Schizosaccharomyces pombe: one gene and its partners. The gene in region 3 interacts genetically with the main gene of each other region. Each region holds a gene or a part of one and is shown on either strand. Other genes may lie near its edges.

Evidence for each region.
Region 1: mutations in rpt4 (region 3) and msd1 together harm fitness more than expected from each alone (negative genetic interaction), as found in Schizosaccharomyces pombe (one large-scale study listed by BioGRID).
Region 2: mutations in rpt4 (region 3) and psy2 together harm fitness more than expected from each alone (negative genetic interaction), as found in Schizosaccharomyces pombe (one large-scale study listed by BioGRID).

What each region holds. Positions count from the first base shown.
Region 1 is NC_003423.3:3,049,028-3,052,618, forward strand, and holds msd1 (microtubule-anchoring factor Msd1), read left to right. Parts: upstream 1-1,523; 5' UTR 1,524-1,552; coding exon 1,553-2,548; 3' UTR 2,549-2,932; downstream 2,933-3,591. Other genes in the region: gpi14 (pig-M family mannosyltransferase), read left to right, coding at 1-1,166, 1,217-1,450; SPOM_SPBC13E7.07 (uncharacterized protein), read left to right, coding at 3,484-3,591. UniProt on the Schizosaccharomyces pombe protein: Has a role in meiosis.
Region 2 is NC_003423.3:895,387-899,145, forward strand, and holds the start of psy2 (serine/threonine protein phosphatase PP4 regulatory subunit 3 Psy2), read right to left. Parts: upstream 2,029-3,759; 5' UTR 1,748-2,028; coding exon 1,036-1,747; intron 978-1,035; coding exon 1-977. Other genes in the region: dynein-anchoring factor Num1, read left to right, coding at 2,689-3,759.
Region 3 is NC_003421.2:403,988-407,746, forward strand, and holds rpt4 (proteasome regulatory subunit Rpt4), read left to right. Parts: upstream 1-1,613; 5' UTR 1,614-1,624; coding exon 1,625-1,842; exon of another isoform or gene 1,843-1,896; intron 1,897-2,264; exon of another isoform or gene 2,265-2,315; coding exon 2,316-3,264; 3' UTR 3,265-3,608; downstream 3,609-3,759. Other genes in the region: mug122 (PX/PXA domain protein), read left to right, coding at 1-511.

The DNA of each region.
Region 1 (3,591 bases), on a different chromosome or scaffold from region 3:
CTAGTGTCTCAGATAAAGAATATTTGCGAATTCAGTGCTTTATTCAATCTTGCTTGCAATATCGTTTAACCCAGGATGAAAAATATCTCATTGATTTGGATGTGAAAGTTTGCAGTCTATTCAATACAAGTGCTCGTGAAGCTCTTATCCATTATGCAAAAGCTATGAAATTACTGTCAAAGTACAATAGTCGTGAAAATATGATTACCAAATTACGTGAAAGTAGTTTATATCTCCTATATGCGCCTACTGATGCATTTCTTTTACTTTTATTGGGTCTATTGATGAGACTTGTATTGTTGAATTATGGTATTTGGCATGATAGACGATCTGCCCTTAAATTTACGGACATCGATTATTTCGTGTTTTCGGACGCATCAAAATATGTCTCCATAGGAATGTCACCGTATATGCGTGACACATATCGCTATACTCCAATGTTGGCAATTTTGCTTCTTCCTACTCAATACGGATTTCCGTCGTGGGGTAAATATTTGTTTTCAATATCAGACTTAATTGCTGGGTGGCTTATGATTAAGCTCTTATCTAGGAGGATATCTTACAAAAGGTCGTTAATTTACTCTTCCTTCTGGATATTGAACCCATTCGTCGCCATAATCAGTACTCGAGGGAATTGTGAAGCCATTCTTGGTATATTGAGCATTGCTTTGTTGTATTTGATCGAAAAAAAATCAGTTTGGCTAGCTAGCCTAATACTTGGGTTTTCTGTGCATTTTAAAATTTACCCATTTATGTATGGGATTGCTTTCTTAGTATATTTTTCAAAACCAAAAAAAGGGTCCACTTTCATGGAAAAATTTCTATCTTTATTATCGATTAATCAGTTAAAGATTGTTGTTGGTTCTTTGTTTATGTTTACGATATGTAATTTATTGATGTATTACCTTTACGGGTCTCCATTCCTTGAACATACATATCTTTACCACTTTGGTAGAACAGATCATCGACATAATTTCTCTCTACATCATTTAAACTTATACTATGAATCATCTTTCGGAGCAAAAGCGTCTTCTTTATTTGCATTTCTGCCGCAGTTAAGTTTGTGCATGCTAATACCCTTGGTCTTTGGAAAAAAGAATTTACCTGGGACTCTATTTGCCCAAACATTTGCATTTGTAACCTTTAATAAGGTTTGTACCAGTCAGGTATGTTAAGTTTGAAATTAGAAGAATGACGGATTATACTAACAACTTAGTATTTTATGTGGTATCTAGTATTTCTACCTCTGGTTTTACCAAACTCTAAGCTTTTAAGTAAGAAGGGACTTATTTGTCTGTCTCTGTGGATTATTGGTCAGCTGTTATGGCTTATTAGTGCATACAATTTAGAAATGTTGGGAAAATCGGTATTTATACCTCTTTGGCTTTCCGGCTTACTTTTTTTTTTTTTTAATGTTTATGAATTAAAAATAATATTAGATTCTTTGTAGTTAATAATCAATCTGTTTTAAGTTCTATGCAATAGATGATTTTTATAAGGATGTTCTACATTATTTCTTCACCACCGCATTAATAAGTGTAAACATTGGAAGATGACCACCCCCATTGTTTTTTGCAACCCCAGCAATATAGAAGAAAGCCTTTTGTATATTAACAAATCTTTATTTTCCAAAGGAGTAATACAAGCTGAAAAGTTACGCCTTTCTCATGACATTCGTGATAATTGCAACATAGTGAACATCATATATCGTTTATTAAGAGCAACTGACGAAGAACGTTTAGAAAAGGAATCTCTTCTTGATGCTATTAAAAATAATGAATATGAAAAGCAAAGAGATAACAATACAATAAAACGGCTCAAAAATGAGTTGGAGCTTTATCAAAACGAATGTCAATTGCAACTGAATAAAGTTAGAACACTGGAAAGAGATCAAGCTGAATTAATTACACAAAATAAAGGTTTGAAAGATGTAAATGCTAAAAATGAATTGACTTTGAAGGCATTAAAGAATCAATTATCTGTTTCATTACGCCAGCATGAGCAACAAATGGAGACTTTGAAAGGTAACTATGGACTAGTGAAAGCTCGAAAAGGAAGAAACCTAAATAGTATGTTAATCGTTAAAGAGCCTATTAAGCAAAACACAAATGCCCCCATACTACCTGAGACCGCTTCATTTTTGCAACAGAATGATGAAAATTCCAATTTCCTTAACAGTAGGGTGAATAACGATGAATTTCAATTGTTAAAAGGATTAAATAACGAATTGAAAAAAAGTAACGGAACACTTTTGACATGTTTAAGTGGTACCTTGAATTCACTGGTAGAGATGTTAAGTCCTTTATACGAACGTCCTAACTCGAACCCGTTTGAAGTATGTGAACTGAATGCTATCCTTCTTGATGCAAAAATTCAAAATCAGCTGCTTTTTATTCGTAATCTGTTGCATGAACGTAAATATGTTTCAATTGATGAATTGGATGCAATATTAGAGGAAAACGAGAAAAATAAACATTTGATAAACATTCTTCAAAAGGAGAACAAAAGAGTTTTTGAATTTTTAACAAATATGCACGACAAATTTTGACTGACTTTTAACGTAATAATTTGCTGCTTCGATTTCTTAAACGAAAGCCAATTTATTAATAATAAAGAACGCAATTCAAAGACACTTATATTCCTCTTTGAGAACTGGAAGATTGCTTTTTATTTTTTTAAATATTTATTTATTGTAAACAAGTGCATCTTCTTTCACTAAGTACAGAATTTTGAAGGCAAATTTCTATTCTCAATTGAACGATTTAACATACCTTAAAATGTGAAACTGTTAAACAGTGCACCAGGGCTTTGAAAGCATGTTGTTAAAGGATTGTAGGCACTAGCTCAAGAAAGTCGATTTAATTATTTCCATGTAAAAGTTAGTTGGAGCACTTACGATTGTGTTTAATCTTCAAAAAAATAATTAACCGGAATATTTTCTAAAAAGTCATAAGTTATTTTTAATTCTTTTTTATATTTGTAAAAAAACACCTACATAATTATAAATATATTGATATTTCGAATTTCAATTCTGCTCAAAACTACTAACACACCCCTAATAGAACAAAATATTTAAGGTACTAGTAAGCTTCAAAAATCATTATTGGTGGTTTTGTTAAAAAAGTAAAAATCAGAGTTACTATAATGATAAATAAATTTTAACAATTTTTTTTTTTAATTATACTTTTTAAGCGAATACGTTGGTGTATTAATTTTATTGGCGACAAGTCTTTAGCGAATTTAGAATAGCATTAGTAGTGTGATCAAGTACATTAGTTTTTTTTGTCAAATGTGTTCAATGTTAAACAATATAATTACCTTTTGTTATTGAAATCACATTTTCTTATTGTTTACATTTTTTAACATATAGTGCTATATATCAAGGATCGTTAAGTAGCATTGTGCATTCCCTGATACATTATGGCGCTTGCTTGGACTGCCATTTGGTTGCTCTACTTACACTATTCCACATTGAGATAAAGAATGGGTTATGAGGAGGCTTTCTTTAGATGGGCATTTCTTATAGCTACTGTTTACGTTGCGTACTATTTTTTAGTCTCAAGTGATAAAAAATTAGCTACCAAACCTCAA
Region 2 (3,759 bases), on a different chromosome or scaffold from region 3:
ACGAAAAAAATAACAAAAAAGCTCACACAAATGCATATACATATCAAGCTTTTTAACATCTAAACTCGATACATTTTCCAGCTCCAATAAAGGAGCAGCAAGCATATTAAAAGAGTTATCATAAAAATTTTCAATAAAATTAATTCCAATAATGTTATCGGTTTTATTTCGAACATTTCCATCAGCATTTCTGTAAGGATTATTGTATGCATAGCTACCAGGTAAACTTAGTAGCATTTTAAAAGCTTCAGAAATTTGAGCAAGTACTCCAGGATTTGATTCTTTATGCAAAATGTTAATTAAATTGGAAAGCAACGAATGTTGGGAAACGTGAGCATTGCTCAATGAAGAAGAAGCGTCCTTGCGATCTTGATCAAACTTTTGCCAAACGATGGCAGGTTCATGATCAATAATAGACACCAAAATATCGGAACCAGCATTTCGAACGGAATTGTTCTCATGTGACATTGCATAATCCAAAGCTTTCAGAAGATTAAATTTAACGAAAGTAGCAAATAATGCAGAGCAGGACTGGAATTGTAGCCCTTTAGCGATGTTGCAAACCTGCTGAATAAAGAATATACCGTCTTGCTTGCGTTGATCATCCTCGCCTTCATTCACATAAATGCTAAACAGTTCATGTAAAAATTTTTCATTTGTTTGAAGGTATTGAATAATATCAGCCTGGTTAAAGAAGATAAATGAATTTAGCACCGAAAAGGAGGGTTCGTCAACAATCCTTGAAACGACAACATCCCTTAGATACTGAAGCTTAAATGTCTGGTGAATTTTTGCAAGAATCCGTGGATCCTGAATGGGAACCACCTGCTTAAACTTTTTGGAATCCATTAAATATTCCCGATGGTTCGCTTTGATATTGGGGAATTCCGGATCGTATTCGAGAATACCAGCTACACACATTAGCTTTTCATCATTAGAGAACAACGATTCGAGTAAAGGGGCGTCGTTCAATTGCACTGACAGCGATTAGCAAGGATTTAACGAATCTAAAAAGTATAAAGTAGATTAACATACCAAAGCTTTTTATTATGGAACACAATCGATGAAGGTCATCTGTATTCTCTAGATCCTCACACAGAGGAAAAAGTTCAATAAGTCTATCAATATAATTTTCATTTGAAACATAACGAACCAAACTATCTCTTGATTGAATAGACTGCATATATCCATATACTGCTTCTTCAATTTCTTTTAAATTAGCAAGCTCTGGGGCTGGAAGATCGACCGTGTTTAGGTAGTTTTCATTAAGCGCCCCCTCATCCGTCAATATATCATCGTTGGAGTAACTTCTAGTTACCGATGATATTGCCTTTTGAACATTTGCTAAAAACATCCACATGTCTATACAACCGCTAGATTCTTGAAAGCTTAAAGCAAGATCAGTACCATTCAATTCTTGCCAGACTATGAGAGTTTCTTCTTGACGGCTGTATATATCTTCCGCAATCAATTGTGTTTTCAAAAGGATGGTTTCATTATCAGCTTCTGAACGCACAATGAAATAAGCCAACGGTCCCTCTATTTTTCCATCGCAATAACCGGTGCCACAGTCTACCCAGTTTTCATCTTCCATTTCGTACACTTTTACACGTCTGGGAATCGATGGCACTTCGATCTTCTGCAATGCAGCTGCAATTGCTTCGTCTAATTCCTCTTCTTCATTTTCTCCATCTGAAATTTCATCAATATTATTATTTAAATCTTCCTCTTCCTTCGTAGAATCCATTTCTACGGCGGATTAAGGGTAGACGTCAGCTTCGAATTTACGACGTTGGCGTTCGTCACCAAATTTTCAAAAGTGAAGACGAAATTCAAACGTGGTGGTGAATGAATGCAATACCGTAGATTGCACCAAGATTGTAATTATTAATAAATGTATTTCTCATTAAATGGCAATGCCGCTTTACTTAATTATTTGGTTTGCCTAAAATATAACAAATAGATTTGTTAAGCAGTGTACTATGTATATTTCACGTGCATAATTTTGAAGTGTTATGGCAGAATTATGTTCTTTATAGAGTCAAATAACTATTATATACGTGATCGTGGTGCTTTCAGTCACTATTTTTCATTGTAATTCGGTATCTGTTTACAACAATATCATTAACGGACGTTATGCATTTTAACGATGAGTACTTCACCGCTCGGTGTATATGCTGTAATCAATCCTTATATCGAGTTGTGTTTTAAACGTTTTATACTGTCTACAATTAGCATTTAAATCTTTTCGAAATAGTAAATAAACTAAATATGAATATAAATAAAGTTAATTATTGTCTAAACACATGTGTAGCCTCGTCAAATCAATTTTTTGCAAGTCAATCATGAGGCTCAGGGTACATTTGTAAAGTAATAGTTAATTTTTAAGTACAAACTAATGGTATTTATACCGATATATATATTGAAAGCTGCTAAAGCTTCGCTAGATATTCAAGTACTCTAGCAAATGCATCAATATAAATACAGTTTTTTTGCTTTTACTAAGTTTTATTGTTAAAGCGTAATACGAGAAATTTGCCAAATGAGAACACGAATTGAATTGATATAATTCCAGAAATAAAAATTATGTATTCAAGACGATGACTGTTGCGATATGCATGCTTACGAGTTTATCGATATATAAAAGACAAAGAGAGTTGAGCTTACCAAAACATATACTGATCCTTCATGGAGAAAAAACAAGATAACGAGGTGGAATTATATTCAATTGATTTAAAAAATAGAAATGAAAGTGCAAAAATAAAGCTTGCTTATGCGAAAGCGTTAGAGGAAAGCATTCTTTGTGAAACACGAAAAATCGAACAAGAAATTAAAGACCAAGTGGTTCAAAAGGAAAATAAAACATATTTTAATAACAAATTTGATAATCGATATAAATTACGCGACTTGGAAAAAAATTTAGCGGAGGAGGAGGTGAGAATTACGGAGATGCTTACTATTCAACGTCAAGACATTGCAATTGAAAGAAGGAAGAACACAAATTGCTTCAGTGAGTCTTCTCAAGTAGATCAATATTCAGTTACTGAAACCAATCTACAATATGCTACTAACATTGGCTTAAACCTTCTGCAACAGTTGCGGTATTTAAGGCTGCAACTGTCAGAGAAAGAAGATTTGCATAAAAAGTTGTCAGTGGATAATGCCCATTTAATCAAGCAACTTGATCTACTTTCTTCAAACATGAAAACACTTATGAAAGAGAAGACTAAGGTGCAAGGACAAAGGGATTTGCTTGAACAAAGACTACAAGGATTAATGAAAAAATTGACAGAAGTAGAGTCTTTGACCGTTTCACTTAACGATGAGAAGAACAAACTGACATTGGAATTAACAAATTTAAGAATTTGCCTTCACGAGCTTCAACTGAATGCCGAAAAAGGCGAAACTATAGATGAAAGTGAAGATTCTAAAAATACTTTGGTAACTGAGGATGAAAACGACGATTCTGTATTTTTGGAGTCTTCCTCGGATAAGTATTTTGATAGTTCATCTTTTGATGCGGAGCAAGAAGAGAAACACGATTTTCCAATAGATCCTTTTTTGTCGTTGGAATCCAATGTACAAACTTCGGTATCTCAATCATCGGCCGTTCTCAAATCCATCAATTTAGCAAAACAGGAGTTAGTGAGTGTAAATCATTTGGTAGCTGACGATACTAAAACACCGTCTCCAAATTTATCATCGGAAATAATTGAAAACACAAAAGCTGACATAAAGAAATCAATCAGGTCTCTGAAC
Region 3 (3,759 bases):
TCGAAAATCAGTTTTAACGATTATGAAGACGACAGTATTGCATGGTCCTGGGAGGTTCTCGGCTCAAGTTGAACGAATGTTAAAGAACCAAATTTATGACAAGCTTTCAAACACTCAACTAGTGGGAGATTTATTAACTTCGTTAATCTTAAACGTATGGCCCGACGAAAAAAAAGCCATGGAATCACATTCGACAAGGGCACACAGACGTTCAACTGAATCTAAAATTTCCTTTGATAGCGAAGCCGATTCCCTTTTCGAAGAGGCTAGCAAATCTGTTCCTGAAGACCCTGTTTCAGTTTTTTGTGACGAGGAAAGCGATGAAAGTTTGAGATTACGAGCCGAAAAAACCCTTGTTGAAAACGCTTTATCTGAGAATTTTACTCTTATGCTTGGACAGTCAACCTCCGAGGAAAGCCTAAAAATTATTTTCGAACTGCTTCAAGAACCGCAATTCGTGCAAGGGTTCCTTGCACATTTACTTAGCAATGCTCTTCGTAGCATCATATAGTCAATCAAGGTATATCGCAAGTGTGCCGTATATTTATTTCTTTTCGCCGATATATACCTGGCATTTTAATGATTTTTACTTCTTTCCCTTTTTTATCATTTTGTTTCCCTTCTCTTACATTTTAAAATTCCATTAGCTTTTGGTCGATACGTGATGACCGGTTTCATGATTAATCGCAAAATCAAACGAACCTTTAGAACCATTCCCTTGTTTTCTACCTCGTTTGTTAATATTTTATTATCCTACTTTCTTTTATATATTTATTTATAAAATCGTATTTTCGACTTTACCTTGCTTTAAGATTTGTTTGTTTAAAGTTGGCGAAGTCGAGAACTATCTTCTCTATCTTTAGTCAAGTTTGCGTTAATTTATACATATTGAGTTTCGTTTATTCGGTTAATTGTTCGTTCCGTTTTACAAGCAATCTAGCTTTTTGTGTAAGAAAAAGTTAGACGTGTATATGTTTAGAAAATTTAGTTGTAGGAACTATGATATTAATTGACAATCATATTCTGACACAAGTGGTCAATTGAATTGGATTGTTCAACTTAAGAGACCAAGTTTTGGCGGATTAAGCATAATTTTTGTTAACAGAATGACTTGAAGCAACTACCAAATTGTTGACATAGCAGTACCCAAAATTTTACGAAGGATGAAATTTTTTAAAGCAGAAAACGTTCGTTAATTTTGAGATTAACAGTAATTCTAGCATCTTCAAAGTTTGATGTTTGCTCAACAAGTTTTTGTTTTTACGGATAGCGACAGGAGTGTAATACCTCTGGTTTCGAGAAAACTTAAATATGAGAAGTTTAAACAAAATAATAATGCATTTTCGGTTGGGGTTTCAGCATGAACTTGCAAAACTGAAAAGATACTCAATTCAAACTTCAAAATATTCTTTTAAAGAAAACTGTAGTCTAGTAATCATACTGCTATTATAGAAAAATATAATCTTACGCAAGAACAGATTCCGCTGAAATTCGCAATGCTTATTTAACGAAAACGACTTTAGTGAAGTTTTAATAATTTCTAAGAACGTAAAATACCGAGTAATTGGATTCCCATTTGCTAGTATGTTCTGACCAGAACTAACACATCTTTTGCGAAATAACCATGTCGGAAAGAGACACTGCTTTAGAGAAATATAAATCCTATTTATTACAACATCGAGAATGGGATTCAAAACTGAAGGATTTGCGTTTTGGAAATCGAGATCTAGTCAAGAAATATGATAAAACAGAGGATGATATAAAAAGCTTGCAGTCGGTTGGTCAGATTATTGGAGAAGTATTGAAACAACTTGATTCTGAAAGATTCATTGTAAAAGCTAGGTAAGTAATTACTCAAACTTTTGGGAGATTGTTTGCTTTACGTGGAGGATATATACAAGTGAAATGTGAAAATGGATGTGAAGACCTTATTATTAGTAATGCATATGTTGGGCGTTGAATTCCTTCATAAAGAATTTTTTGTGGCGTATGAATGGGAACCATGTTTAAATGCATATAATCATTTGCCCGTTCCTTTTTTTTTTTAAAGATAAGTTCAGTGGGCAAAATCTGTGTTCAAAAACTGTTTGGTTCTAACCTCTCCATCCAGCAAAAATTCTTTTTGAAATGCGCACACGGTATAAAAATCTATAACCGGAAGCATGAAACACTCTGTTTACTGGTTTCATAGCAAATCGTTGGGAAAGTAGATACCTCACGTATAGTCATCCTTCTCTTTTTACAAATCTATCGTTGCATTAGTACACTATTTTTTATTTCCTTTCATTATTTTCTGTTTCCCTAACCTATTCTAGCTCTGGTCCACGTTACGTTGTAGGTTGCAGAAACAATGTCGACCAATCTCATTTGGTTCAAGGCGTTCGTGTATCTTTAGATATGACCACGTTAACCATTATGCGTATTCTTCCTCGTGAGGTTGATCCTCTCGTTTACAATATGTCAATTGAAGACCCTGGTGACATTTCTTTCGCCGGTGTCGGTGGCTTGAATGAACAAATTCGTGAATTGCGTGAAGTTATTGAACTACCTTTAAAGAATCCGGAATTATTCCTTCGTGTGGGAATTAAGCCACCAAAAGGTGTTTTGCTCTATGGTCCTCCTGGTACTGGTAAAACTCTTTTAGCTCGTGCCGTGGCGGCATCTTTAGGTGTTAACTTTTTAAAAGTAGTTTCCAGTGCTATCGTTGATAAATATATTGGAGAATCTGCTAGAATAATTCGTGAAATGTTTGGCTATGCAAAAGAGCATGAGCCATGTGTTATTTTTATGGACGAAATTGATGCTATTGGTGGTAGAAGATTCTCTGAAGGAACATCTGCTGATCGTGAAATTCAGCGTACATTGATGGAATTATTGAATCAGATGGATGGTTTCGATTACCTTGGCCAAACGAAAATTATCATGGCGACAAATCGTCCTGATACTCTAGATCCTGCCTTGCTTCGTCCTGGTCGTCTAGATCGTAAAATTGAAATTCCCCTACCAAACGAAGTTGGTCGTATGGAGATTTTGAAAATCCATTTAGAAAAAGTCTCTAAACAAGGCGAAATTGACTATGAAGCATTGGTTAAACTGACAGATGGAACAAATGGTGCTGACTTGCGGAATGTGGTTACAGAAGCAGGATTCATAGCCATTAAAGAAGATCGCGACTATGTCATTCAGTCCGATTTAATGTCCGCAGCTCGTAAGGTTGCTGACCTGAAGAAACTTGAAGGTACAATTGATTACCAAAAGCTTTAGTGCACATATATCCAAAAAGCCATGAAATGATAAGTTTACCGATGAAGATTATACGCGCAACTGCATAGTTATGATTAAAAAGGTCGAATAGTAAGTGAAACGTTTACTTTTAATATATTCCGACTCTTTTGGCTTTTATCATGTATATATGAATATGCTTGATGGGAATCTATGTATATTATCGTAAGGCATATCTGTGATAGTACAAACTGATTTTCTTCAATATTTGATTATGTTTTCCATATCCTCCAAATACCAAACATTGTTTTTCCACTCTACATAATTTACTGGCGACAAAAGAAAAAATGATCAAGTAAAAATAAACAATTAATTATACACATGAATTAAAAGTAAAGCAAATGTTTGACTAGAAATTATTAACTAACCAAATGCACTGAAGTGTAAAGAACGAACTAAATATATTGAACGAAACCCGGTTCAAAAATGCAAAAATTCTTCTCTTCCCAGGAAGGATAGTTTGAAGTTATCCTTAAA